Linked DNA regions of Rhinolophus ferrumequinum. The main gene of each other region encodes a partner of the protein of the gene in region 4 in a complex. Links are inferred from orthologs where the notes say so. Each region holds a gene or a part of one and is shown on either strand. Other genes may lie near its edges.

Evidence for each region.
Region 1: TLE6 (region 4) and KHDC3L share a complex: the UniProt entries of both Homo sapiens proteins name them as parts of the subcortical maternal complex. The link is inferred for Rhinolophus ferrumequinum from reciprocal best matches to the Homo sapiens genes TLE6 and KHDC3L.
Region 2: the proteins of TLE6 (region 4) and YWHAG are in contact, whole or in part, in a cryo-EM structure (PDB 8XI3), measured with the Mus musculus proteins. The link is inferred for Rhinolophus ferrumequinum from reciprocal best matches to the Homo sapiens genes TLE6 and YWHAG. Residues at the interface, in NP_444484.1 of Mus musculus: Phe137, Leu138, Ser139, Glu140, Ser141, Asp142, Leu144, Gln145, Leu295, Arg347, Asn430, Leu447, Gln470, Met472, Asn489, Asp510, Asn511, Thr512, Met530, Pro553, Arg555; in NP_061359.2 of Mus musculus: Lys50, Arg57, Arg61, Lys125, Asp129, Arg132, Tyr133, Gly174, Leu177, Asn178, Val181, Glu185, Phe201, Asp202, Ile205, Ala206, Leu208, Asp209, Glu213, Tyr216, Lys217, Thr220, Leu221, Ile222, Met223, Gln224, Leu225, Arg227, Asp228, Asn229.
Region 3: the proteins of TLE6 (region 4) and OOEP are in contact, whole or in part, in a cryo-EM structure (PDB 8H94), measured with the Mus musculus proteins. The link is inferred for Rhinolophus ferrumequinum from reciprocal best matches to the Homo sapiens genes TLE6 and OOEP. Residues at the interface, in NP_444484.1 of Mus musculus: Trp256, Ser258, Phe304, Thr305, Arg306, His307, Val318, Asn320, Val322, Asn323, Glu332, Ser333, Asn354, Ser355, Arg356, Leu373, Ala374, Ala375, Pro376, Ser377, Leu378; in NP_080756.1 of Mus musculus: Arg32, Pro33, Trp34, Trp35, Pro37, Gln39, Glu40, Glu67, Trp70, Met71, Gln73, Gln94, Pro95.

Annotation. Positions count from the first base shown.
Region 1 is NC_046286.1:34,639,799-34,646,048, reverse strand, and holds KHDC3L (KH domain-containing protein 3), read right to left. Parts: upstream 1,998-6,250; coding exon 1,829-1,997; intron 1,637-1,828; coding exon 1,457-1,636; intron 1,181-1,456; coding exon 525-1,180; downstream 1-524. UniProt on the Homo sapiens protein: Component of the subcortical maternal complex (SCMC), a multiprotein complex that plays a key role in early embryonic development.
Region 2 is NC_046290.1:92,431,090-92,438,413, forward strand, and holds the start of YWHAG (14-3-3 protein gamma), read left to right. Parts: upstream 1-4,323; 5' UTR 4,324-4,540; coding exon 4,541-4,627; intron 4,628-6,088; exon of another isoform or gene 6,089-6,420; intron 6,421-7,068; exon of another isoform or gene 7,069-7,167; intron 7,168-7,324. UniProt on the Homo sapiens protein: Adapter protein implicated in the regulation of a large spectrum of both general and specialized signaling pathways. Binds to a large number of partners, usually by recognition of a phosphoserine or phosphothreonine motif.
Region 3 is NC_046286.1:34,652,902-34,658,904, forward strand, and holds OOEP (oocyte-expressed protein homolog), read right to left. Parts: upstream 1,607-6,003; coding exon 1,420-1,606; intron 1,205-1,419; coding exon 1,025-1,204; intron 671-1,024; coding exon 591-670; 3' UTR 506-590; downstream 1-505. UniProt on the Homo sapiens protein: Component of the subcortical maternal complex (SCMC), a multiprotein complex that plays a key role in early embryonic development.
Region 4 is NC_046301.1:60,230,215-60,237,525, forward strand, and holds the start of TLE6 (transducin-like enhancer protein 6), read right to left. Parts: upstream 3,010-7,311; 5' UTR 2,956-3,009; intron 2,406-2,955; 5' UTR 2,382-2,405; coding exon 2,313-2,381; intron 1,876-2,312; coding exon 1,802-1,875; intron 1,424-1,801; coding exon 1,378-1,423; intron 339-1,377; coding exon 297-338; intron 1-296. UniProt on the Homo sapiens protein: Component of the subcortical maternal complex (SCMC), a multiprotein complex that plays a key role in early embryonic development.

The DNA.
Region 1 (6,250 bases), on a different chromosome or scaffold from region 4:
CTTGCAGCGACACGACAGACCCAGCCGCATGCCTTGTTGGAACCAAGTTTACGCATCCCACGTCACTTTGAATAGAAACACCTCAGGTTTGGAGAGATTTCCCAACTGAGGATGGACTCGATGGCCTTGAGAGGCCTCTCGCGGAAAAGCCAGGTGTGCGAATAAAGAGCAGAGGGAAGCACCTGCCGGTGCCTGGGAAGAAATACGAGACGTCTCACTTGCCTCGACGTAGATAGCAAGCAGCCTAGAGCAGATACTGGCTTCTGGAAGAATATTCCTCTCCCTCTCCTTCTACCAGCCAATTAACAGACCTTAGGGAAGTTTAAGTGTTTATTATGGAAATTCGATTCTTAGAACTTAGATTCCTGTTTGCACACATTTAACATTGGGGTGAGGTGGAAGAACCAATAACAACCCACACCTTCCCCAGCTTCTGCGCAGAAGCAGGACCTAGAAAAAGAGGGCTCCAGAGAAGTTTCCACATGAATCTTGCCTGGCTCTCGCTCCTGGGCCCTGAGAAGCCTTCATATCCTGGGAACCAGTACCAGGGTAGTGTCGCGGGAGCTCTGGGTGGCTACCTCCCGGATAGCATTGGGGGACCGCTGGGTGGCCGCCTCGCGGGCAGCGTCGGGGGACCTCTGGGTGGCCGCCTCGCGGGCAGCGTCGGGGGAGCGCTGGGTGGCCGCCTCGCGGGCAGCGTCGGGGGACCGCTGGGTGGCCGCCTCCCGAGCAGCGACGGGGGACCGCTGGGTGGCCGCCTCGCGGGCAGCGTCGGGGGACCGCTGGGTGGCCGCCTCCCGAGCAGCGTCGGGGGAGCGCTGGGTGGCCGCCTCGCAGGCAGCGTCGGGGGACCGCTGGGTGGCCGCCTCCCGGGCAGCGTCGGGGGACCGCTGGGTGGCCGCCTCCCGGGCAGCGTCGGGGGACCGCTGGGTGGCCGCCTCCCGGGCAGCGTCGGGGGACCGCTGGGTGGCCGCCTCGCGGACAGCGTCGGGGGACCGCTGGGTGGCCGCCTCCCGAGCAGCGTCGGGGGAGCGCTGGGTGGCCGCCTCGCGGACAGCGTCGGGGGAGCGCTGGGTGGCCGCCTCCTGGACTGCGACCGGGGGCATCTTGGTCTCGGCCTCCCCGACAGCGTCCGGAGACCACTGAGTCCCGGTCTCCAGGGCAGCGTCCTTCTGTGAGCCTGAAAGAGCAGTGTGAAGAGATCACACCTGTGTCTTCCTTCATACTCTCTCCACAAAAGGAGTCATCCGTCCGGGCTGCGGGGTTGGGGGCCCGGAATCTGAGAGCACGGGGTCAATTTGGCCTTCTAGCTCCCCTGCAAACGAGGCAACCCACACTCCCCCACCCGGGCGACGAAGAGATTGAGACCGCTGCCCAGGCAAGGCCAGGACGCATCATGATCCCTCCCAAGGAACCCAAGGGCTGCTCAGGGTGCCCCTCATCCCAGGGCCCCTACTTTGCGCCCGGAGCTGGCGGTGATAGTAAGCCAAGTTCATGATCATCTTGGACACATCCCTCTGGTAAGAAGGCCGACCAAATACCAAGATCTCAGCCTCGCCTTCGGGGTCCCACTGATTAACGTGAAGCAATGTCTGCGACACACACTCGACGTGCGGGATGTGCTCTCCGCCCGGGCCTGCGCAGGAGGCAAAGAGGCCATGAGGGATGGGACTTGGGAAAGGGAGGCAACGGGACGTGCAAGCAACAGGGGCACTGGATTGCGGCCAGGGCCACAGGACAGGCTTATCCTGGGGTGCAGTCAACCGGGGCAGGGAGGGGTAGGAGTGGGGCAGGAGGCCGCATTGGCTTCCCCTCTCTGGCCACTCACCGAAGATCGCTTCCACCAGGCACGCCTCGAGGTGAACCGTCTTCGGAGTCTTCAGGTACTCATTGTGGAACCAGTGGGGACGCTTGGTGAGGTTACCGAGCACCTGGAATAGTGTCCCTTCCCGCTGCTCCAGCTGTACGAGCGTCGGGAACGGTTTGGGGGTGGCCATGCCTCGCAAGGAGCTGCGGGAGGGCTGCCAGCCTGAAGGTTGCACTGGGGCCTGGGCCTTACTTCACAGGCTTTGGGCAAGCCCCTCCCACCGACGCCCTTTTCATTGGATACCAGGCCTCACCTCCCCCACTCCGCAGCCGCGGGGCAAGTTCCTGAGCTCTCGCAGGTGCACTGGGGCTCTCCCCGGAGGTGGGTGGGTTCTAGCCCCGAGGCTGAGCTCCGGACAGGCAGGGAAGATCCAAGTACAGGACAATATCCGCAGAGAAGCAAACTGACATCTGTGGAGACTCGGGTGCTTTTCAGACAGTTCTAATGGGATAAGTTTATCATTCCTGACGGGCTGTAATAACTTTTTAACAAAAAATCTAATTAAATACATCAAAAAAGCAAAAACTCAAGGAGTAAAAAAGGTACTCAAAGGCTAAATTAAGTCTCCCACTTCCTCCTAAACCCTGACTACTGAGTTCCTTCCCCAGAGGCCACCATATTTCCAGCCTTCTTCCGTGCTTCCCCGAAAATAAGACCTAGCCGGACAATCAATAAGACCGGATCTTATATTAATTGTTGCTTCAAAAGATGCATTAGAGCTGATTGTCCGGCTAGGTCTTATTTTCGGGGAAACACGGTTTCTTAACCTGTCAGAGACAGCTGAGCACACCCAACAGCAGGTGGTGCATATGGTTTGGATGCCAGAGGGGGAATCCCCACCCTCTCTTTAATTTCTGGCAACCACTGATCTGTTCTTCGTTTTTATAATTTTGTTATTTCAAGAATGTTATATAAAAGAAATTATACAGTATATAACTTTTAGCACTATTTTTTTTCACTCAGCATAATTCTCTGGAGATTCATCCAGTTGTTGCTCTTATCAAGTTTGTTTCTTTTTATTGCTGAGTAGTATTCCACGTGATTCATGTATCAGTTTGTTTAACCATTCACTTGTTGAAGGACATATGTGTTTCCAGCTTTTGGCTATTACAGGTAAAGCTGCTATGAACATTCATGTGCAGGTTTTCTGTGTGGACATGAATGTTTTCTTAGTTATATATGTAGGAGAGGAATTGCTGGGTCATATAGTAACTTTATGTTTAATCATAGAGCTGTCATATTGTCTCCAGATTTAATATACCATTTTTAGGGTTTCCGGGTGGGAATTCCTTCCCGCCTGTTCTTGGGAATTTTTTTCATTTTCCCATTCCCGAATCCTGAGAAAAGTTGGTTGGGAAATCGGGAAAATCGGCTCCTTGAACCCAGTAATACCCACAATGGGAAAAAAACGTACTACTCACAATGTATCTCTTAGACATTTTTCCTATTTATCGCTATCTAAAGTTACATTGTGTTACAATGTTACATGCCACCAGATGCACACGTGACACCAGAATCAGATATCACATGACCAGTGTGGGGACAGAGCCCCAGAGAGCAGTTTCCAGGCTCTCGGCCACACGTGGAAAGGTGCTGTCTCAGGTAGTAAATGGCCATCAACTGTGATTGGATGGCCATCAGCTGTGGCTAGTTGGCCGTCAGCTATAACCAGTGAGCCATTGGCCACTAATATACCTGTTGTGGCTACGCTAGCAGCAAAAATGGGGGCTAGCAAGCAGATAGTGGCTGGCAAGCGCGTAGTGTGGCAGAGTGTGGATTGCAGATTCAGTGGCTCCTGCTTCCTGTGTCTCCAATCCAGCCACCCAGCGAAAGTATAGTGGTGACTCCCCTATCTATAGCTCCGTGGGTGTTCCTTTTTGACCTCACTATGTCCTGCATTCTTATGTAGGGAGCGGGACCAAAGACCCCTCCGAGTGACTCTCCGCATGGCACCAACTAATTTTAGCTCTTGTAAATCGAGCACGTTTGATCATGGAGAACAGAAAACAGTTTGTATTTACACAGAGAAATATTTGTTTTCACAACCCAGGATTTGACTACAAAGTCATCTTCAGGTGAACTAACTAAGGAAATCTAAGGTAGTTTACCTTAATATGACATTGTAGTCAAATCCTGGGTTGTGAAAATAAATATTTCTCTGTGTAAATACAAACTGTTTTCTGTTCTCCACGATGAATCTTTTCCCAAAGTGATGGCCGATACTACCAACCACACTCGATCACTTATGGAAAGAAGAGTATTATGAAATATTGAGAGGTATGTTGAATTGCTTACAACCTGTAAGATTAGCAGTTGAAGCCTCAAGTAATAGAGAAGCTAATATTCTCACAAGTGAAGGAATTTTTAAGTTCCTTTTCAGTAATTTAGAAAAACAGAATTCATCAATGAGCCAAATGCTTTTAAAGGAAATAAAATTTGAATTGTTTAAACATAGAATTAGAGATCTTGTATCTCTCACAGAGTACTTGAGCAACGTTAGTTGTTTATGTGAGATGGAAGAGGAATTTTTTGCCTTGTCAAGTAAGAATGAAATTGCACGATCGGCAAAGTCACTAATGGGAAGACTTTTTAAAGGAACATTTATAGCAGAAGTTCCAAGAGAAGAAATAAAGGATGTCATTACAGAGCGTTCTGACATTAAATCAGAATCTGATCTGAAGTGTGAATTGACAAAAGCAATGTCAATTTTGACATCAAAGCCTAGCCCTATGCATGCAGACAAAATATTTGCTTCTCTAAGGAAGGAAATGAGCTTATATGAAGCAACGCATTCTCTCCCAAGTTGAAGATGCTTGTAGATGCACTCATAATTCAACCAACGTCTACAGAAAATGAAAGAAATTTTTCCACATCAAGTATATTTGTTACAAAGCGAAGATCACGATTGTCTGATCAGGCAATTAATGCTCTGTTTCTTAAAGTTTCATTTTAAAAATGACAAATAAAAACTATTTGAAGGGGCCGGCCCGGTGGCTCAGGCGGTTGGAGCTCCATGCTCCTAACTCCAAAGGCTGCCGGTTCGATTCCCACATGGGCCAGTGGGCTCTCAACCACAAGGTTGCTGGTTCAACGCCCGCAAGGGATGGTGGGCTTTGTCCCCTGCAACTAGAAAACGGCAACTGGACCTGGAGCTGAGCTGCGCCCGACACAACTAAGACTGAAAAAGGACAACAACTTGAAGCTGAACGGCACCCTCCACAACTAAGATTGAAAGAACAACAACTTGACTTGGAAAAACAGGCCTGGAAGTACACACTGTTCCCCCAATAAAGTCCTGTTCCCCTTCCCCAATAAAATCTTAAAAAACAAAAAAAACTATTTGAAGTATTTTTTAAATTTTCAAATGAATAATATTTGCATTTGTTTTCTATTAATGTTTAATTTAATAAATAAAATATTTAAATGAGATTGGGAATGTTAATACATTGCGTGATATATGTAAAAACTCACTGTATACCTTAAGGTTTGGTTAAATAAAGTTTGTATTAATTACATTGTTTATATTTTGAGCAAACCTGAAATATAACAGAAACCTAGCCAAAATGATACGTAGTTACCCCTGTTTAGCGCTCAGTGCAAGAGAATCATTAGTCATGAAATTCCAGTCGACCTCCATTTAGGAAATTTTATTTACTCAAGTTTTGCGTTGACCTTTTTCATATAGGAGTGTCTTGAAACCTCTGAAAGACTGCGCTAGGGCCACAAAACCCGATTGCCCACCTTCTCTATGGCTTTTCTGTTTATTAACATTTACTGTTACAGCCATTATTACAGATGATCAATGAAAATTAAATAAAAAAGATTATTTCGTGAATTCTCGAGACTTCTCAGGAAATACAATTTCCCATTCTAGATTCCTGAAAGTTCCAAAATGTCGGGAATTTGGAAACCCTAATCATTTTACCTTCACTCCATCAATGTATAAGTGATCTAGTTTCTCTGAAAGCTCACCAGCTTTGGGGTAGTCCCTATTTTTTATTTCAGTCATTCTGATATTTGTATAATGATTTCTCATTGTGGTTTTAATTTACACTTCCCTAATGGCAAATGATAATGAACCCCTTTTCATGTTCATATTAGCTATCTGTATATCCTTTTCAGTGAAATGTCTCTTCATGTCTTTTGCTTATTTTCTAATTGTATTATTTAATTTTTTACTCTTGAGTTTTGACTTCTTTATATATTCTTCAATATTAGTCCTTTGTTTGATATGTGGTTTGCAAATATTTTCTCCCAGTTTATAGTTTGCCTTTTCATCTTCTTAATAGGGTGTTTCACAAAAAACGTTTTTACTCTAGATGAGGTCCAATTAATCAATTTTTGCTTTTATGGATTGAGCTTTTGATGACAAGGCTAAGGACT
Region 2 (7,324 bases), on a different chromosome or scaffold from region 4:
AGGAATGGTCTTGAATTCCAGGCTAAGGAGCAGGGCCTTTGGCCCATACACAGTGGGAGAAGCACGCATGGCACAGCCAGGGCAGGGGAAGGAGAAAAAGCGAATGTACATTTGGAAAGATCTTTCACATCTTTCACTGGGGAGGCAGGGAAGACACCGAGGCAGGGAGTTAAAAGGCTGTTGTTATAGAGGCTGGAAGATCTTAAAAAACATCGTCCAGTTCTTTTATTTATGCACAATCCGAGGCTGAGAGTGGTAAAGTAACTTCCTCAAGGTCACCGGCAAGATCAATAGCAAAGTCAAGGCTTCAACCTGTGGGTTCTGCCTCCCAGCACAGGTCTCTACAACTGCTTCAGTTTCTTCAGGAAGAGAGGAGCCCCCTGAGATTTCCCTGTTGTCCTTTGCCACTGACTCTGTCGTGTGTGCTGCCCTTACTACAGACCAGCCTGCTAGGACAGGGACAGGGAAGTGTTCCCAGAGGACAGGGCAGGGAGCATTGCCTGTCCGCTTATGAAGCGGGGGCTACTTCTGCTGCCTCTCCACCAATCAGGGAGCTTTCCAGCCGCAGGAGGAAGCCAGGAGCCAGAGGCTGGGGCTGTGGTGATGATTTATGACGGCACAGAAACAGCAGGACACTAATGTCTCTGACTGGCCTGCTTGTCCGCCAACCCAGCAGGACAGGATGCACCTAAAGGTCATGTCCTCCAGCACTGGAAATGGGGCAGAGGGTTAGCCATACTGCTTGCCCAGTGCCCTTGTGTCAGGCCAGTCACCAGAGGGCAGGGCCTCTCCTTTCCTGAGCAGATACCAATGGGTAGATCCTTACAGCCTGGGAAAGAAAATGTGTCCTTGCTACTGGGAGTCCGGAAGATCCGCCTGGGTTTGAATTCAGTCTCTAGCAGTCACCTTTGTCTTGTTACCCAGCATCTCCACGTCTCAGCTTTCTTGTCTAAAAAACAGGGATGACTCTGAGCCTCTCAATTCTTGGGACTTGACTATCTCCCACGTCTGTACAGGTCTCCTGTTGCCACAACTGAATGCCAATCGCCTTCTACTTCAGAAGAGGAACATGTTGAATCTAGAACTACGACTGTCACAGCTGGGCGGAGCACTTACTTCTCATTTAGCTTAATTTCTCACGTCAAAGAAGCGGAAATTGAGATCCAGAGAGGGCACAGGCCTTGCACGCAGAGCTGGGGGCCAGGCAGAAGGCAGAGTACTAGTTCTCCAAATCCCTGCTCCAGGTTTCTTCCAGCAGTCCCAGGCAGTAGAGGAGGAAGCCAGAATATTAAGCCATTTGCTCTGTATAATGTCATCACGCTTCTGAAACAATCCTCTAAACAACCACGGGCTGCTGGACAGCTGCAGCTTTAAGCCTAGAGTCTTAAAAAAAATCAAAAGGGAAAGGAGGGCAGGCCCAGCTCTCCTCTGCACCACTGGATGGAAACCTCGATGTGGAGACTGCCCATGTCATTACTGTTTGGCTTTGGAATATCCTTTTGATGGAGGAATATTTTCCTGTGATTCCCCAAATGATGTAGATGATGTTGGGTCTGCCGGCAGTTTCTGGGTGTGGGCCGGGATTGTGTCTCGTGAGACCCAAGAATGGAAACACGGACCCAGGAGAGGCAAAGAGTTTTAAAAAGAGGATAGTTTATTGAAGGCAAAGAGTCAGAGCTCCTGAGTGAGAGGGGGTCCCGAATGGGGGTGGCCCCGTGAGTGAGGCAAAAGCTCTTATTTTTATACCTTCCCTTGTCCACTTGGGGAAGGGGAGCTGTTTGAAGAAGGGAACTGGCGCCTTCTAATGAAATTCTTCTACCAGGTTTGTTCTGCTTGCCCATCCTAAAGGAATTAGCAAAGTAACCCACTCTTTATCTATCAGATCTATTCCGTTTGTCAGGCCAAAAGGAATTTTATGAACCTCAAGGCCTTGTTACATTATGTCCTGGAGCGAAGGAGTGATTTCAAAACCTGGAGTTTTAGGATATGGCTGTCTTTGTTTACTCCACCAGAGACCTCCCTGTCTACCTAGGGACATGCTAACTATCCTGTATCACTTTCTTTGCATCTGCTTTACTTTTCCAAAACAGATTTGGCCTTGATTTTTTAATTTTTAAAATTTTTTTATGTACATTGGGCTAGTGGGGAAAGGAACTGAGGTGGAGAGGTCCGAGAGGCGGCCTGAAATGTGCCAGGAAGTGCCCGAGATTTAGCATTGACACATTTAATTCACATGTGGACAACCAGCGCTGGCTGGAAGGGCTCATTTCCACAATCCCGTGATGCCCAGGCCAGAATGGTTCAGGCCTGACCTGCAGGAAGGAAGAGAAAGGAAGAGGAATGACTTGGCGAACAGTCATGTAAAAGACAGAAGGAAGCAGGAGGGTTTATTCACCAACAGGATTGCATTTTGCTGGGTGGTGTAGTAAGAGGAGAGGGGCTGGATCCTATGTTGGAGGAGGGGGAGAAGAGAGCTATTTCTAGATTCTCTCCTCCTTCAGTCCATTTCCTCCACTCCTGCCAGAGCAATCTCCCTATAGTGCATTCATTCACTCATTTCTTTACTTCCTATGTTCTACAGATTTACTGTGTGCTAGGTACTGTGCTAAGTAAGCACTGATGAAGGAGGCAATGATGAAGACAAAACACAAACCTCACTTTCTGCCTTTGTTAAAATCTCTCACAGGCTTTCTATTTATTTCAGAATAAAGACTTCTCTCCCTTCCTTGCCTGCTATGCAGGGCTCCTTCTGTTCTGGCTCCTGACTCCATCCCCAGCCCCACTACCCATCACTTCAGGCAACAAGCACGATTAATTCTTTGCCTACCAATAAATATGTCAGGGAGGAACCAGCCTCTGAGTCCAGCTGCCTGTGTCCTCTGCCTGCTGTCAAATCCTTACAAGTCCTTTAAAGGCTGGGTTGGAAATGTTACCAACCTCCCTGGAGAAGCTTTTCAGAATCTCTTCCTATCTAGCCTGAAAGAATAACAAAACAAAACAAAACCCCAAAACTTAACAGTGCTTAACACATTTTAAATTCTTTGAGGGCAGGGTTCCACGCCCTCTTCCTCCAGCATCTAGCCTAGAGCCCGGAATATTCTTTCAAAGAAACTCCTTCATTCTAGGTTCTCAAACACAACACTTCATATCTCCTGCTTAATTTTTTTTATTCCTTATCACTTTCTGACATAGTCTACATGTTTATCTTGCCTATTTTCTTGGCCAGGGTTTTGTTGTTGTTGTTCACTGCTGTACCTCATTGTTTAGAACAATGCTTGGAACATGGTAGGTGCTCAATAGATAATTGCTGAATAAATTAATAAAATGTGCAGTCAAAACAAAACTATGGGGTATGTGAGCTATGTTGAATGTCAAAAAGGGAAGCATATGAGCAAGAATTTGTCAGCTTGACCTCAGGGTGTATTTCCTAGGTGGGGAGAGGATTGGTTAACCCCCAGATACAACCCATGTTAAACATACTGTAGGCTCTTGGTAACAGAATTGAATTTTTAACACTCCACACTAGAGAGGAAGAAGGGGCTCCCCAGGGGTCAGACGGCGGACAGCTGCATCCTTTCCGTAGATTAACCAGTATGCCTGGCCAATATTTGTCCTTCCATGTTTTCACCTCATCAGGTTCCAAGAACCTCAAGGTGGGGTTGGGGAACTGGAATCTTGTGGGAGTGGATGACAGTTTTAGTTCCTTAATTCAACCATCCCAGGGGCGGGCAGCACTCTGGCAATTTGGATCTACCTTGGACATGCTCCCTCTCCTGTGAACCCCCTTAGCCTGTTACTTTATCTCGGACATTGGGTCCAGGGCTAGGGCCCTGGCCCGGTCCTCTTGTAATTTCCCTGAGAATATGGGGCGGGGCCGTGAATCAGCACTTGCTCCGACTGATGCAGCCTTCGTCCCCGCCAGGGGTCCCCAGCGGCCGCGGATTTAGAACCCCCTCCTTCTTCCTCCTCCAGCGTGCGATGACCACTGGGAGATGTAGTGTTGACCGCCCCTTTGTCCTTGATCTTTCCAACGTATCACCCCGCCAGTGGATGAACTACAACTCCCAGAGATCCATGCGCCGGAGGTCTGGCAGGGCGGGGGTCTGAAGGGGGAAGGTGAAGTGGACTGCTTCTGGAGAAACTGGGCCGCAGGAACCCGAGTGAAATGAAGAACGGGGAGTGCTGGGGTGCAGCCGAGAAGGAAGGGGACGCCTAGAAGGTGGCGGCAAGCTGATTGGGGAGGGGACGCCCGAGAAGCGGAAGGGCCGGGGAGGAGCCTGGGCGGGGTGCGCGGGCGGGGCTAGTTGCGTCACGGTGTGGGCGGGGCCGCAGGGGGTTGTCCGCCCGCTGCACGCACAGCAGCCGCAGCCGCCTCGCGCCTGGTCCCGCGGTCGCAACTTGAACCGCAGCCTCCGCGCCGCCTCTGCTGCTTGGTTCGTGGATCGGTTCCTCCGGCACACGGGCTCCAGCCGCGCCACAGCTGCCTTCCAATCCCTCTAGCCGTCCCGATTTCCTTGTTCGGCCCGATTCAGCCCCGAAGATGGTGGACCGCGAGCAACTGGTACAGAAAGCCCGGCTGGCGGAGCAGGCGGAGCGCTACGACGACATGGCCGCGGCCATGAAGAACGTGAGTTTCTCCTCCCCTCCCCCGCATCGCCCCAGCCCATTCGCCGACGCGGGCCTTCGCGTGGACGGCCCAGGGACTAGTCGCCTGTCGCGACTACAGGGTTGGCCGCCCCTCCTCGCTCAGTGAGGGGACAGGGGAACGTCTCGATGATGGGAACCCGGGTTGTGACGCGGCCTCTCCCAAAGTGTTCGCGGGAGCTGGCGTCGCTGCCTCCGCGGCCCTCCCCGGGCTCGGGCTGGGGCGGGGTCTTAATAGGGCAGGTCTCGGGAGCAGGGTCCCTGGATCCCGCGTCTTTGGAGCTGCTGGGGATCTGAGCGGGGGCCGTGGGCATCCTTTGTGCCCCACTTCCCCCTCCTCCCAGCCTGGGCGTGGGGGCGGGGGACCGCATGGATGCGGTTCCTCTTTCTCTCCCTGGTGTCTGGGCGGCGCCTTTCCCATTCACTGAGCAGGTCTCCCGGTTTCCTAATACTTACCCCCCTCCCCAAATCTTCCCCACTGCTGCTCCTGACAGATCCTTTAGAGTCTCCCCGGGAAAAATGTAGTCAGGCTCTCCTGAAAACCTGGGCTCAATGGTGCAAAGTCGAAACCTCTTTTTTCACGTTTTTCTTAACAAAAGGCTCCTCTTTCTCCATTTCCCAAAGCAAAGTCCTCGTGCTTTAAGGAAGGGGGAACGTTTGTCTTGCTAGCGTTTTTCATTGATTGTTCTCAACCTGTCATCTCCATTTTTCCCTAATGTTTTGTATTGAAAAGGGTAGGTATTGTCTTCAAAATAAAGGTTGTGAATTTAGCTGACTGGTTCAATTTGTGACATGCTGTTTCTTTTTTAAATACAGGCACACATCTGTTGAAATTCCAATAAGTTGAAAAAATACTCTCTGATCTGATATTGCAAACAAAGCGGTGGTGGGAGGCAGTATCAAGTCATTCCAGAAGATTCTGCATTTGTCATATTGCAGAGAGCCTAGACTGGGTGGAGGCTGGGAGGAGTTATTTTAAAGGGGAAAAAGTCTTTTTTATTTTTTCCCAATTTGTTTTGTTAGATACATCTGAGGCTTTTTTTTAAAAAAGCTAGCGCATCCTCATGCTGATGAAAAGAGAATACTGATCTCCAGTTGTCGCATTTTGTATAGGATGCAGATTCCTGCCTGTATTGCACCATTTTGTCAGTAACACTACATTTATCTAACGGCCTGTCAACGACTTTGATACTCGAGGGGAGGCATGGAGCCATTACTAAATGAAACATGGCAAATTATCCAATTAATGATTTAGATTTCCCACTAACTTAATATTTAAATTCCCGCCTTATGTAACCAAGATTTTAAAGTGTACCTCCAGCGTGAGGTGGATTTATTTAGAAGTGTACCTTGCATGTTAAATCTGTTTAATGAAGCAGTACAGGTATTCAGATTCCTGAATAATTTCACTAGTTCACAGAGGTGATAATGCTTTTATATTTAGGCCAGCTATGTGAACAACAAAGATTTTTTTATCTCACTAAGGAAGAACATTGGTTCTGAAATTGGTAGTACCACTGTATTAATATGTTGCCACAGTTGCTGTCTTAAAACATTTTAAAACTAGAATGATAGAAGTTGCACTTTTAATAGTTGGAAATGTCTTTAGTTCATGTCATTTAGATTCTTCTAATTTTTCCATGTTTCTAGTTTCACAGGAAAGCGAGTGACCTCGCACCTATATCCATAGCAACCCAGTGATGTCACACACAATGACACAGAGGCTGCAATGCACCTAAGGGCTGGTAGGGAGTATGCAAATGGCATTTGTCCAAGGTAATGCAGAAATTAGCTGATAAGCCAGGTGGAGTTGAGTACTTCATCTCCCACCAGATAAGAATTGGTGCAAAAATAAGAATTTCATTTATCCTTAGACATGCAAATCAGTGACCTACAGATATGCTTATTCATGTTCCTATTTCTAGTTTTCTCACAAAAGTTGATAAGATAATTTGTATTTTTAAAGATAGAAATTTTAAACAAGAATGTTTTATGGTCATAGTGTAAGGATGGGCTGTATACTTGGGTTTATAGCAAATTTACTTGGCAGGTTTTAATAAAAACCTTAAACAGTTATGACTTCCCACTAGGTCATTTTCAGTAAATGTTAGGGAATGGGAATCTATTACAAAACACTTTGGGATTTGGCAAAGTTCTCTTTTGCTTTATTAATGCTTCTGCTCCTTGATGGAGCTTGGAGGAAAGAACAGTTTGTAAAATAAAGCAGACCTTTTTTTTCAAACCTGTTTACTGTGATTTTGAAGAAGTACGTTTACCTCAGTCCTCATTTTCCTCATCTGTAAAATGGGTCAGTACCTATTTGAAAAAGTTGTGAGGATTAAATAAATGCAGTAGGTGCTCAAAAATGGTAACTATTTATAAAACTTTGTTTCTTCCTTTTATAAAAATCATCTCATCATGAAGCATTTGGAAAATACAGGAAGATATAAAGAAAAGACTCAATCCTGCCACTCCAGTGAGCTCTCTGAAATTGCCTTGCTGATAGAGGGATAAAACTTACGGGTATTTAATAATATTATCCTAGTAATGACACTGTTGGGACCTGTGCAACAGAATGGTAGTTGTATGTGGGTAACCAGGAGAGAAGTAACATGTAGTATTCTGAAAGGAAAAAAGGAAGTTTAGTCTTTTAAGATAAATGTGTAGTCTTGTATTTAAG
Region 3 (6,003 bases), on a different chromosome or scaffold from region 4:
AAGTGCGAGCCTCAAAGAATCATTAGCATTACCTATGGAGCTTGTTAGAAATGCAAATTCATGGACCCAATGTACTAAACCACAATCACTTAAGGAGCCTAGCAAACAGTATTTTAGCAAGTTCTCAAGGTGATTGTTCCACACTTTAAAGTTTGAGAACAAATGATGCAAAAAAAACCAAAGCAGAACTGACCCTTCATCTCTTCTCCCTGTGCTTGAGGGCCTGACTCTGACCATAAAATCATAGAAGGGTTAGTAATTTCAAAATGGTAGAAACTAAGAAACAAAAAGAAAATCACTACCTCTCAGGCCTTTTACCCACGCTACACATCAAGATATGAATGAACAGTCAGTCAATCTTTTGTAAATTTACTTAATTTTAAGCGAGCAAAGATCTTTACGCCATTGGACAAAAAGGAAATTCATTTCTTTACTAGATGGGCAACTACAAACTCACACTGGCATCAACATAATCAAACCATTACCCATCAAAGCAAAGGAAAAAAGAAATGTAGGGATTTAAGAATACTTGCTTCTCTTCAATTTTAACAGCAGAAGCAGGATTGTTCTCATAATGCTCCTGACAATCCTTATGCAACAGGATGCTGGACCGTATGGAGACCTGATGCGCGGGCCTTCAAGAACTCCTCAAGTTGTTTCATCTTTTGAGCTGCATAGGGAAAAATGCTGTTTCAAACTACTCCATCACTGGGGGGTTAGGGGAAAGTGCTGGCAACATCATTTCTCAGGCTGGAGGCTCCGAACCTGGGATCTGGAAATAATGGCTAACCAAGCTGAGGGTGGCATGGGCAGTGATAGGCCTGAACGTGTAAGATGTCATCTTACTCTCCCAAGGTCTTACTTGGATTCCTCTCACAAAGGGATGCCCAGGGGCTGCGTGAAGCATACTGGAGTTGGGAAACTGCAAAAAATATTAGGAAGCTGAGAGAGGTTGGGAGGAAGTCAGGTACGGCCAGATGGCTCACCCGTGGCTCCCTCCACATGCAGGTTTTCAGACCCTCACCTCGGGCACGATGTTGGCGGTGCCTTGATGCCAGGCTCAGGAGCACGCTCTTCACCCGATTTTGCACACGGGGCTGTCCAAAGATGGTGATTTCGACAAAGTTCCCGTCGTTTACCATGTCTACCGTCAGCAGGACCTGGTTCATCCACTCTATGTCCGGAATGATGGCTCGGTCTGCGCCTAAATAGAAAAAGAGAGACTCAGGGGAGGCACCGTCGAAGGTCAGGAGGAGCTAGGTTTGAAGGGGATGTCAGCCGGGGAGGGAAGAGCTGGAAGCTGGTATCATGGCTACAAACGTGGCCTGCGAATCTGGGAAAGAGGCTGTGACGAGGTTCTCTGCTGGCTTCTCTCAGACTGTAGGGGCCTAGGCCACCCATGCACCCCAGGTCGCTCACCGAAGATTGAGTCAGCCAGCCATGCCTCCATGTAAAACGCCAACGGGTCTCTCAGTTCCTGCACAGGAAACCACCACGGCCGGGTGCGAATCCGTGGTGGTTGAAGTGGTACCTTCATTAGCACGTCCAGGGAGTGGGCGGGCTTGCAGTCGTGCCCTTGGGCCCCCGCACCTCCGTGGTCCGCCATACTAGGACCAGTAGCCGGAACCAAGAGCCAGGCAACGCGGGCGGAACTCCAGAGAGGAGCGAGGCCTGTGCCCCTTTTACAGTTCCGGCCAGCCCCGCCCCTTCCGGCGGAGTCCCATGGCCCTTTGGGGCAAGTGGGCCCATTGATTCTGGGCACCCAGGCCTGGTGGGTGCCGCAGGGCGCTTCCTGCTCTGCGTCAATCACCAGGACTTCCTCTTCGACCTTGAATTAGTATTTATTTGAGCTCCAGCTGGATCTCAGAAGCTGTCTAGCCGTGGTTTTCTCTGCCCAATGAGGTATCAGCCTCGAAGGCCTCCTCCACATCACAGTTATCAACAGATAGTCTCTATAAGAGGAGATAGTGAATCAAACTTTAGTGAATATTTTATTTCTTCAATTTAATTTTAAAATTCAACATAAAAATACGTGTACATTGTTAAAAAAAAAAGTCTTGAGGATCATAAATATGTGAAAGTTCTCCCTTTCATGTATCCTCCCTCAATCTCTTACTAATCCTTTAAAATTTTTGTTTATTGTGAATATGTTCTAGTTTAAATTGCCTTTTCACTTGCTTTAAGGTGACTTTTGATGAATAAATTTTTAATTTTAATATAGTCAGTTTATCAGTCTTTGTAGTAAGTGCATTCCATGTCTTGCTTAAGAAATCATTTCCTGTCCTGAGGTCTAAAGATGTTCACTATACTTTCTACTAAGAATGCTGAAGTTTCTGTCTTAACATTTAAATCCTAGAATCATTTGGGGTTAATTTAAAAAAAAAAAAAAACTGGGCATTAGGTAGGGAGATAACTTCATTTTTTTATAAATTGATCATTTTTTTACTTGAGCCATTCTCTTGAGAATGCATCCAACATGAGGCAATTTCATTTACCTCCTTGAAAATTTTCAGACTCCTACATATAGCAAGAGTTAGCCACAAGCCTGGTTTGTGGTAATTAATTATTAGGTGAAGACATACTTGAGAAAGGCAAAATCAAGACAAGTTCCTTTGCCATCCCCATCTGGATAACATAGTTTATTTCTGATTTAGTTTTATTTTGGAAGTGTAGTCATTTGGGGTCCTAGCTTTATGCAGAGACCCCATATTAAGGTTCCTACATTTGGCAAGCCTCAAGTTTTATTTGCTGACCCCATGCCAGCTTCAAAACTTCAGAATTGCAAAGTTATTAGGAGTTAGCAGAATCTTCTAAGATGAATCAGTTTTATCACTGTTATCTGCAAGTTTCCTGATTTGACTCTGATGGGTGGGGAGTGGGCATGATTTGAATACTGGCTCCAACATTTTCTAGCTGTGTGATTGATGCAAGTTATTAAAACTCTTCTACCAAGAAGACTTCCAGAGGATCATATGCTTTCATTTTCTCTGTTTAGCCCAGGAGGAAACAGTCTGAGGGGCTGTGGATTCAGCCAATAAAGTATGTGAGTGAATTGGCTTTATAATTTCTCCCTGAGAAGCTTTCTTCTTCATTACTTCACTTCTTGTAATCTTCAACTCTTAAGATGAAATCTTTATACAATGAAAAATGTTACAAAGCATAATGAAGACATAACACCAATTTTTTTGTACCAAATAATCACACCAAAGTGTATATCACAGATAGAAAAATGAGGAAAGTAAACTCCTAAGGAGATATTTAACAAATTACCGTCAGACAAGAAGCAATCATGTGGAAAAGGAATACAATAAAGCCCTAATAGTTCTGAACAATAGAGTGCATTCTTGTAATGTTTAAGAGCATTTACAAACAGTAACTATACCATACTAGTTCCCTTGGATGGATGGATGGATGGATGGATGGATGGATGGGGAGACATTATATCACACTACTAAATAATATTCAAGTAAAGTAAGAAATGAAAAACATCACTGACAAGCTATTTAGAATGTAAGAATAACTTACAAAGTACATTTTAAAAACATTTTATTATAAACAACATACATTCAGAAAAAAATCTAGTTTCAACCCTTCTCATCTATCCTGTTCTCTCCTTCACAATATAGTTAACTATTAATAGATTTTGTATTATTTTTCTATTTTAAAAAAGTACATAAGAATCAAAATTTTTGCTTTTACTTTTTTTGTAATATTGCATATAGTATTTTCTTGTATTCTTTTCACACCAGTTTTTTATTTTGAAAAACTTTAAACCTATGGAAACATTGTTAAAACATTAAATTTACATTCTATGCCTTTCATTTGGTTTCACCATTTTAATATTTTTATTCATTTATTTTATCTCTCTACCTATATATAACTTTCATGCAATATTTGTAAGTAGCAAACATCATGACACTTTATCCCAGATACTTCAACATCATTTCCTAAGAACAAGGACATTCTCCTATGTAAGCATCTACAATTATTCACTCAGGAAATTTAAATTGATTCAATATTGTTTGATATACAGTCCAATTTCAGTTTTTCCAATAATGTACTTTATGGCTAATATTTTCAAATCTACAGTTCAGTTAAGGAGCATGCATTGAATTTACTTGTCATGTCGCTAGTCTCTTTTAATCTAGAATCATTCTCTGTTGTTTAATCTTTAATGACATTGATATTTTGAAATATTTTAAATTTTTTATTGTGGAAAATTTAAAACATTTACAAAAGTAGAGAAGGTAATATAAATGAATGATCACATACTGATCACACAGCTTCAACAAATAACTGATGAATTATCTTGTGTGGAAATAAACAAAGACCAAAATAAAAGAAAACAAAACCAAAAAAAAAAAAAAAGAACAAGAAAAACCACCCAAATGGGAACAAGGAAAAGCTACATATTCAGTGTTTGCTGTAGTGCAAGGGAGTCAGATACCGTCACTGTGTTTCTCAGAGACTCAAAGGCAGGCACAGGAGTGGGAAAGCTTTAAAGTAGAAGAAAAGGAAGGCTTCAGGTATGACTGAAGAAGGAATGTATTGGCATGGGGAGGCTCTAGGTGGGCTAACAAAGTGGGGGAATTTATGTGATTGGTTAGGGGTACATATTTGGCTTTCTCCAGTTGGTCCTAAGTTGAAATAAAGGGCAAAAATTAGGAAAGCTGTCATTACTAATCAAGTCCTGGCCATTTGGTGTTGATAGCCATAGGTGTTGTCTGGCTTGCTGGACTAAGTGCTGCAGATTGTGGGTTAGAGTTCTATTTTTATATTTGCTCTGGACATTGTCTGCTTATATATTCAGTCTGTCAGTCCCTACTTTTGGCCATTCTCTAATTTTCGAGGGGTTGACCAATTCAGGGAAAGCTAGATATCCAGATTGTCACTGCTTAGAGATTGTTCAGTTGTCCTTATAGTCAACCAGATCACAAGATCTTCTTTCCCTTTTTGTATCATCATTGAGATCATCTGTTGGAGAGTGACTATGTAGAAGCATTTAAGACTGCATAGAATATGTTAAAAGAATATTCAGAGAGCTGTACTTGAGATGAATATTTTATTGAGTGAGAAACAAACTTTGCAAAAAACAAGTGGCTTGAAACTTGGATCTCAGCAGTTATAGCTCAATTTATAAAATATGAATGAGGAAGTGCATTGTTTTGTATTGTGACTGACTATTAGAAACTAAATTCTTATTAGGGTACTAAATAAGTACTAAATAAGCTTATTTGTTTGTAGCTGATTAGCTAGGAAGCTATAACATTATGCTGACATGAAGAAAGCTTAAGTTTTGTTTAAAGTCAGAATCATCTCAGGGAAATCAGGACAGTTTTAAGGTTTGGTTACGTGGCTATGAGTGTTTGGTCTAGGGGTATATTCAAACTGTGGCCTCCATTTTCTCTTTAACAAATGCAAAGGGTCAGCCTGACTACTATGACAAAAACAAGAACAATTAATAATCCATATAAAATGCTTTGGAACCAGGAATCCTAATTGCCCCACCTAGGCCAAGAAAACAAATTCCATAGACCATACAACCTTCGAGTCACATAGCTTTTTCCTTAAGGTGATATATAGCTTGTTCCACCTTGCCTGTTTCATTGATCCAAGTAAAAGAAGAAGTATTAGCCATGGCACAGATGCCACCATAATCAGCCAAGAAGAAATAAGCAGTACAATTGTCCATCACTACTTAGGACAGTGAGTTATGACTGATCTCTATTCCATCTAGGGCGGAGGTGGTATCACTAATAACTTATGCAAAAGTTAGTGATAGGCTTCTTCTAGTCTTTTCCAAGTGTATGGTTCCTACTGATGGGAACACTGCTCTGAGCTCTCATAAACAATGAATGAGTCAGTAATTCCCCTAGGTAATGTGCCTGGAAAATCAAGACTGGCCTCATTTTGGAGCTCACATCTGAGTCAGAATTTCCAGCCTTGGTGATTTATAGACTCAGGGTCTCTGTGTACAGACAAGATTCAGAATACTGTTCCTAA
Region 4 (7,311 bases):
GTGCTTGGCACACAGAACAAGCCCGTCAAAGCTGAAGCCACTGACCTACAAAGAAGCGTCATCTGAGCCACGCAGGGACCCGAGGAGAAGGCCGGAAGACGCACTCCCAAGATGTGGGGACATGCTGATATCCTGGGGGATTACAGGTCCTATCTCTCCTCTGCCCACAGCCCTTCAGGGTTCCCATCTCCATGGGGTCCTCCCGAAGCCCACAGGGCTCTCCTGCCCTGCCCTCCTCCTCCTCTACCCTGCCTTTCGAGGGGCAGCTATACCTGAGTTCCCGGTCACTCACTCACCTGTCTGTGATGTTCCTGCAGACCCTGTCGGACCTTCTGGAGCTGTGAAGTAACAACAGGGGCCACAGGGGGTGGTGTCAATGGAAGTGGGCGGGGGTCGGTAATTTGAATGCTGCGCATGCTTCTCCCCAGCTGTGTGACATTGGGCAAGTCACTCTATTTCACTGGTCCCTACTCTCATTAATGGGATACCACTTCATACACTCAGAGTGGGTGCTAATTAGGAAGGCCCCTGGATTCCATTCTCGATGTGAATTGAAGGTCAAGGACCTCCCCAGAGACCCCTCCCCCTTGCTCACTCAGCTCCCACTTGGGCCTCCTCATTGTCCCTCCAACACACCAGCCCCAGGTCCTTTGTACATACCCTGCCCTCTGCCTGAACACCTTTCCCAGTTCTCTCTAGGGGTACCAGGAGCCCCTTCTCTTCTGCAAACATCACTTCCTCTGAGACCTTCCTGACTACCCTAGCTCAAAATCTTTACTCATTTTTCATTTCATCACTTTCTATTTTCTTTATAATGCTTACAGTTTGTGAATCTTGTTTCTCAATTTATGTCTCTCTCCTCCCCTTAGAACTGCTCAGTCCAATGAGGTAGCCACTAGTCAAGTGTGACTATGCAAATTTAAATCAATTAAAAAACAAATGCTCTATATCAACAATGTCTCATTGGACATTGTTGATATAGAACACTGGGAAAAGTTCTAGAAGATATCAGCACATCAGAACATACGTCCCTCAAGGGCAGGGACTCTAGTCATGCTCTGTGAGCTGAAGAAGCACCTCCTTTAAATATGGAATTTCTAGTTTTCACAGCAAGGTTATTATAAAAAACCTGGGAGAATTTGAGATCTTGCTCCTGGGCATATGTCGTCAGTTTGGCTCAAATAAACTCATAAAAATTCTCAAAAAAAAAAAAAAGAAAAAAGAAAAACTCACATGAAGCTGAGGCTCAATGGGTTAACTCACTTGCCCAAAGTTAGCAAAACAGAGAAGAGGGTGTCCCTGAAATCCTGTTCCTGGGGCCTAACAGAACCACCTTTCTAGGATGTTCTGGGAGGGGCTGCCTGGTTTGTGGCTCACCAAGTAGTAAATGCTCTCCATCTGTGCCGGCAACTGAGGGGGGAACCTGTGGGGGAAGAAAGACGGCTGGAAGGGGAGGAATGCCCTCCTTCCCCAGAATGACCCTCACCCCCTGGTAGGGTGGGAATGAAGGTCCCCTTCAAAGGAGCCACATTTAAGACAGCCTCAAGATGAATATGATTTTAATGCAGCATTAAAAAAAATATAATTGAATGCAAGCAAATGCACGCTGAACAACAAAAAATCAAACATTTAAATATAAAGCCAGGGTCGGTATTACTGGTTTGGTTTTCCTTCTGTTTCAGGTTCCCCCTATTATTAGTCCTGTCATTTGGGTCAGGGGCTTTTGAGCCAGCGAGAGACCTGAAATCTTTCCCTCAGTGGAACTTAGGGTCACAGCAGGTCCCCTGTGAATCATCCTCACCTGGGGAACTGCTTCTTGAGCTGCTCCAGCATGCCCTGAGAGTTCAAGGTTGGAAGGCTGGCCCCAGGATGAGCCTAGAAAAAGGTTCAAGGAGGGTGAGGTAGGACTCCTAAAACCTGAAGGTAATTTGCCTTCTCTCTTGCTACTTAAGTACCCACAGAGTATCTTCTATTTTGCATCTTGCCTTAAAAATATAAACTATTCCCTCTCTGGTCCTTTACGCACCCCCCCCCAGCCTAAACTGTTAAAAATGGTCATATCTGGGAAGTAACGTCTGGAGGAGGGGGGAGTTTGCTTGTAATATATTAACAGATGATGTAGTCATGTTTTACACCTGAGTGTTAAGTAAGTTTACTTTAAAAAAGCAAGTGCCTTGGCACCAATCAGTAGGTATGTTGGGTTAGCCTAGCCAGCCCCTCCCAAGGCCTTCCATCAGAAGCAGGAGAATTAGATATGAGCCCAGCCCCCAGTCTTCCCCCCGCCCCGCCCCAGGGGTTCATGCCCTCCTCACCAAAGTTCCTGGGGGCCTCACCATCCTTGGAGGTTGCCCCTGGGAGCTGGGATGGCCCCAATAGCTCATCTTCAGGTAGTAATCACAAGGTCTCTAAAAGCAACAAGGAGATGGCAGGTCCTGAGGGAAGAAGGCTAGGCAGTGGCAGGGACAAAGCAGCCCCATCCCACCCCTGGGCCTTCTACACCAGACAACATGGTCTCCCCTCCAGGACCCAAACCTGGATCCCAAACCCCGACTGACCTCCAGCATCCCACTGCTTTCCCTACAGCCTATATTCATTCATCAAACACTCTGGTGCCTGCGGCGGTGCTGATTAATAGTGGGGACCCCCAGGGCGAACAGTCAGGGCTGGGGGAGTCCAGAGAAGAATGCCAAAGCTCAACCTTAGTTTTGAGACCAATTTTCTAAAGCATGGGAGAACATCATTGGAAAAGGGTTTTGAAGGATGAGTAAGAGTTGTTGGCCAGGTGCATTAGGAGGAATTTCTCAGGCAGAAGAAAAAGAGACCTCTTCATTACCACAATCACAATCGCGCGACCAAACTATATTCTTTGCTTGGCTTCTGCCCCTCAACGTCCCTCCAGCCTCCTCCACCGCCCGGGGACCCTGGGGTCCTCCAGCTGACCTGGGGCCTACACACCTTCCGTAGAATAGAGGTCCAGAAGAAGCAAGGAGGTAGCTGCGCGGGTGAGCCAAGTTCAGGCAGAAAGAAGAGCCTCCCCTCACCTGGGGGCCATTTGACCTGTCGGGCCCCGCCCCGGCCCGCCCTGGTCCCGCCCCGGCCCGCCCCGGCCCCTCCTCACCGCCACCTGCACCGCAAAGTCAATCAATGAACAGGCAGCAGCTGCACGTGGGCTCAAGCTTTGGGGACGGCAGACAGCGGCACTGGCCAATCGTGAAGCCGCTTGCCCACGTGGGCGGTGGCCACTGTCTCTGATTGGCTGACTCGCCCCAGCCGCCGGCCGGGCTGTCAATCAGAGCACAGGGAGCTGCTGCTTAACCCTTGCGGTCCCTCAGCCGGGAAGGGCAGCTTGCAGGGCCGCAGGCAGTTTCGGGTGCTGGCGGGGTCGAGGATATTTACCTGGGCTTGGGGCTTGGGGTCACAGGGTGCAACCTGGGGAGGGGCCGAGCGGCGTATAGTTGCATTGTTTGAAGAGAAGCCTGGTAATTTTTCTCCATGCTCGGGAGTGGTTTATGGCGTGGAGTGGGAGGGTGGGGGGCTGGGACTTGGGTGGAGATCTCTAGCACTCTCATTCTGATCCTTAGATATGGGCTAATAACATTTTATGATGTTAAATAACGTTCAATGAAATGAAGCTTCAAGCCCCCTTTCTGGGGAAAACTTAACGTCTCCCTTTTAGCCAGTGCTGCCCGTGAGCCAAGCCCCAGGCTACACATTTTATCAAGGTGAATTTTCCTAACTCCCCTCCAAGCCTAGGGAGAGAGGATGTTAGAACCTAAAGCTTCTAGGTACTGAAAAGGCCTTGAGGCTGGTACATTTTTTCCAAGTTCAGGCAAATTTAGTATGGGGTGGTGGGTATTTCAGGCCTGGGATGATGTCCGAGATAAGTGGGTGGGGGATTGTGGGGGGCTGTTGAGGGATTCAAGAGTTTCGTGTTTGCCCAGTTTGAAATGCCTACTCAAGATGTGAAGTGGTCAATCTGGAGTTTTGGAGTGAGAGGCCAAGTTTCTGGCTACCCCAGGACCTTTGCACTAGCTATTCTCTCCACCAGGGATATTCTCCCACCTGACACTCACTAGCTTACTCCCTCACCTTCAGCTCTGGCTCAGAGGGACCTCCATGTTCCCTTTGTTATTTCATTTTCCTCCAAATGTACTTTGGATTGGAGCTGATCTTGTTTTAATCTCAGTGGCTCAAAATTCATATAATGCTGATGGGATTCTAATACATTCTCACTGCTGGCCATAGGCTCCTGGGCCGGTGTCTGGCTTGGGATCCACACGAACCAGAGCCGTCTCCATTTCCCCTGATCTGTGCTTTGTCACTGGGGGGTAACTGAGGGTTCGGATCTTGGGATGTGTAGCCCCCAGCGGTTCTGATGTAAACACGTAACTTGTATTTTGTGGCTGGTCTGTGGAGGAGAAAGTGAGGGCTGCTGTATATGAACCATAAAAAGAGGGTTTTCACCCATGATCCTTCAACCGGCCCTTAATTGAAATGTATTTTATTTATGATCCGGCCTGCTAATTGCCTCCCTCTGTGCACTTGGCTCTCCTCTCTGTGGTTGTAGACTTTCATCTGGGCGCACCAGTTCATCCAAGGTTGGCTTGTCTCGTCTGGTTTCTGCTAGATACTTGTGGCTCTTTATAACAAATTAAAATTAAATAAAATTTAAAACTCAGTTCTTCAGGCCCTCTGGCCAATTGTCAGTTGCTCAGTGGCCACATGTGGCTGGGGACCGTCTGCACTGGACAGCACAGATCTAGAATGTTCCCATCATCACAGAAAGTTCCACAGGACGGCGCAGATCTGAGGTTCTTCAAAAAGAAAAATTCTAGGTCCATGTAGAAATCAGAAGCATTTTATGGCAGCCATCCCATTCTCACTTTTTGAAAACCCCGCATGGGGGGATTGGGTAATATTTGGTACTTTTGCTGGTATGTGCTCCCCGCTGCTTCTTTCTTTTTCTGTCCCCTGCCTGCTCCAGCCTGGCCAGCAAGGATGCAACCTCCTTGAGCCGTTGGAAAGGGGATGGATGACACAGCAGATAGGAAAGGAGGAAGCACAGATTTCCTTCTTGGCTTCTGAGCAGTGCTTTACTTGGTGGAAATCCAAGGTCTGGATGAAAGTTAGAGAAAAAAGAGGTTTACATTTCCAAAGCTTTGGAATTCCCTGGGCCTGCCCTGGAGACCTCAGGCCACTTCCCCAGGGGCCCCAGGGTCACCTGGGTTGGTTGTGGGCCAAGCAGAGAACTCAAGAGAAAGCCCAGGGTGGAGAGGGGGCTGTGGAGTGACCACAGGGAGGTGATAGTAGGGAGGTGGTGACAGGCTTCAACTGTCCCCTTTTCTCCCCCATCCCCAGAACTTCCCAGTGGCCCACAAGAGCAAGAGACAATAGCCAAGCGTTAGAAATTAGGGAGGAGCTGCAGAAAGTCTGTAGGTACAAGGCAGGCCCTGGTGTCTGGCGGAGGAATGAATGGCAAAGAGCAGCAGGACAAGGACCTGAAATTGCTGGCCTGGCTGGGAGATACTCAAAGGTGGGATGCCCCCCAACTGGCCCCACTTTTGAACGCCATATGACAGCCCTTGAACCTAGACCTGGCCCCAGGAAAAGTGAATTTATCGAATTACCTGGCATTGATTGAGGTTTGCTCTCTGCCACCTGGTGGAAAGAGGCTTGCATTTCTTTCCCCTGGGCCACTGTAACAAATGACCACAAACTGGGCGGCTTAAAACAACAGAAATCTATTCTCTCACGTCTGGAGGCCAGAAGTCCAAAATCAAGGTGTTGGCAGGGCCAACTCCCTCCAAAAGCTCCAGGGGAGGGTACTTCCTGCCTCTCCCAGCTTCTGGTGGTGGCTGGCAGTCCGTGGCCCTCTGTGGCTTGTAGACACATCATTTTCATTGCTGCGTCTGTCTGTCTTCACGTGGCCTTCTCCCCTGTGTGTCTCTGCATCCGAATTTCACTCTTATAAGGACAGCAGTCATTGGATTAGGGTCATACTTTAGTATGACCTCATCTTAACTAATTACATCTGCAATAACCCTGTTTCCAAATGAGGTCACGTTTGCAGGTGGCGTGGTGGGGAGAGGGGGAGGGAGTGGAGGGCAGGTGGGTTAGGATTTGAAGGAATCTTTCTGAAGGACACAATTCTACTCTCCAAGAGGCTCAAAAGGGAAATTAAGTACTACAGTGGCCCACTCAATTGTCCACGAATCCTGATATCTCCATTTTATAGAGAAGAAAACGGAAGCCCAGAGAGGTCAACGCACTTGCCCAAATTCACAGTTACTAAATGTCTAAACTAGTATTTGAACCCAGGTCATCTTGTTTTAGGATGTAGCCTTATAACCCTTATAACATAACTCCCAGACCCAAACTAGGTTTCTTCCACTGAAGTGCCCACATAGTGGCATTAGTTGGGCCACTCCCTGGACTCAAGCTTGGAGGAAGGCATATCCATTCCAGAGGTGGATTTTGGCTCTCGCTTCTGAAGAAATCCAGACATATTAGCTAGTGTCACAGAACAAATTGCCCCCAAACTTGGTGGCTTGAAACAGTAAGCCTTTATCATCTCACAGTTTCTGGTGGGCAGGAATCTGGGGGTGGCTTGGGTGGTTCAACTTTGGTTCACTGATGAACACTGATCCACGTTAAAGCCTTTCTTTCTCCTCTCTTCACAGTGAACACCTTCTGCCACCAGAACGCAATTGAAAAATCTCTTCTCCGCGAGGCTCCATCACTTTCTGTTATGTGCCCCTAACCCTCCTCACCGCCCTGTGATACTTTTTGTTTTATTTAATTCTTCCTTGTCTGGCGTGTGTGTGTTGCCAGAAGGATGACTGCAGGGACACATGTCCATGCACGTGGATTTGTGTGTGTGCTTATTTTCCTAGGATGCCTGTGTCTCAGTTGGGGGTCCAGTGTGCCTTCGCACTCTCCAGGGGGTCCTGTATGTTTTTGACACTCTCCCCATTTGGGCGTGGGCAGGATGGGGGTACTGAGGTTGTTTTTTGATGGTCAAGCTATGGCTGTTTTGGGCTGTTGAAAGCTTCCCAGCAAATTTGCAGTGGACCAATTGTTATTCTAATGGCGTCAGTGAATAAGGCAGTGGATTTATCCCAGTGAGACAGCCCTGCCCTCAGTATGGAGAGGCAGCAGAATCCTTTCTTGAGGGTCCAGTTCATTCCTTCCAGGAGGTGGGAGGCAGGGGAGAAAGTCCACAAATCTGACATAATCCGGTAGGCTGGTTCTGACTTGAACTCATGGTCTCTGGCACCCTCTTCTGGTGAAACTTTTAATTACAGCTTCATT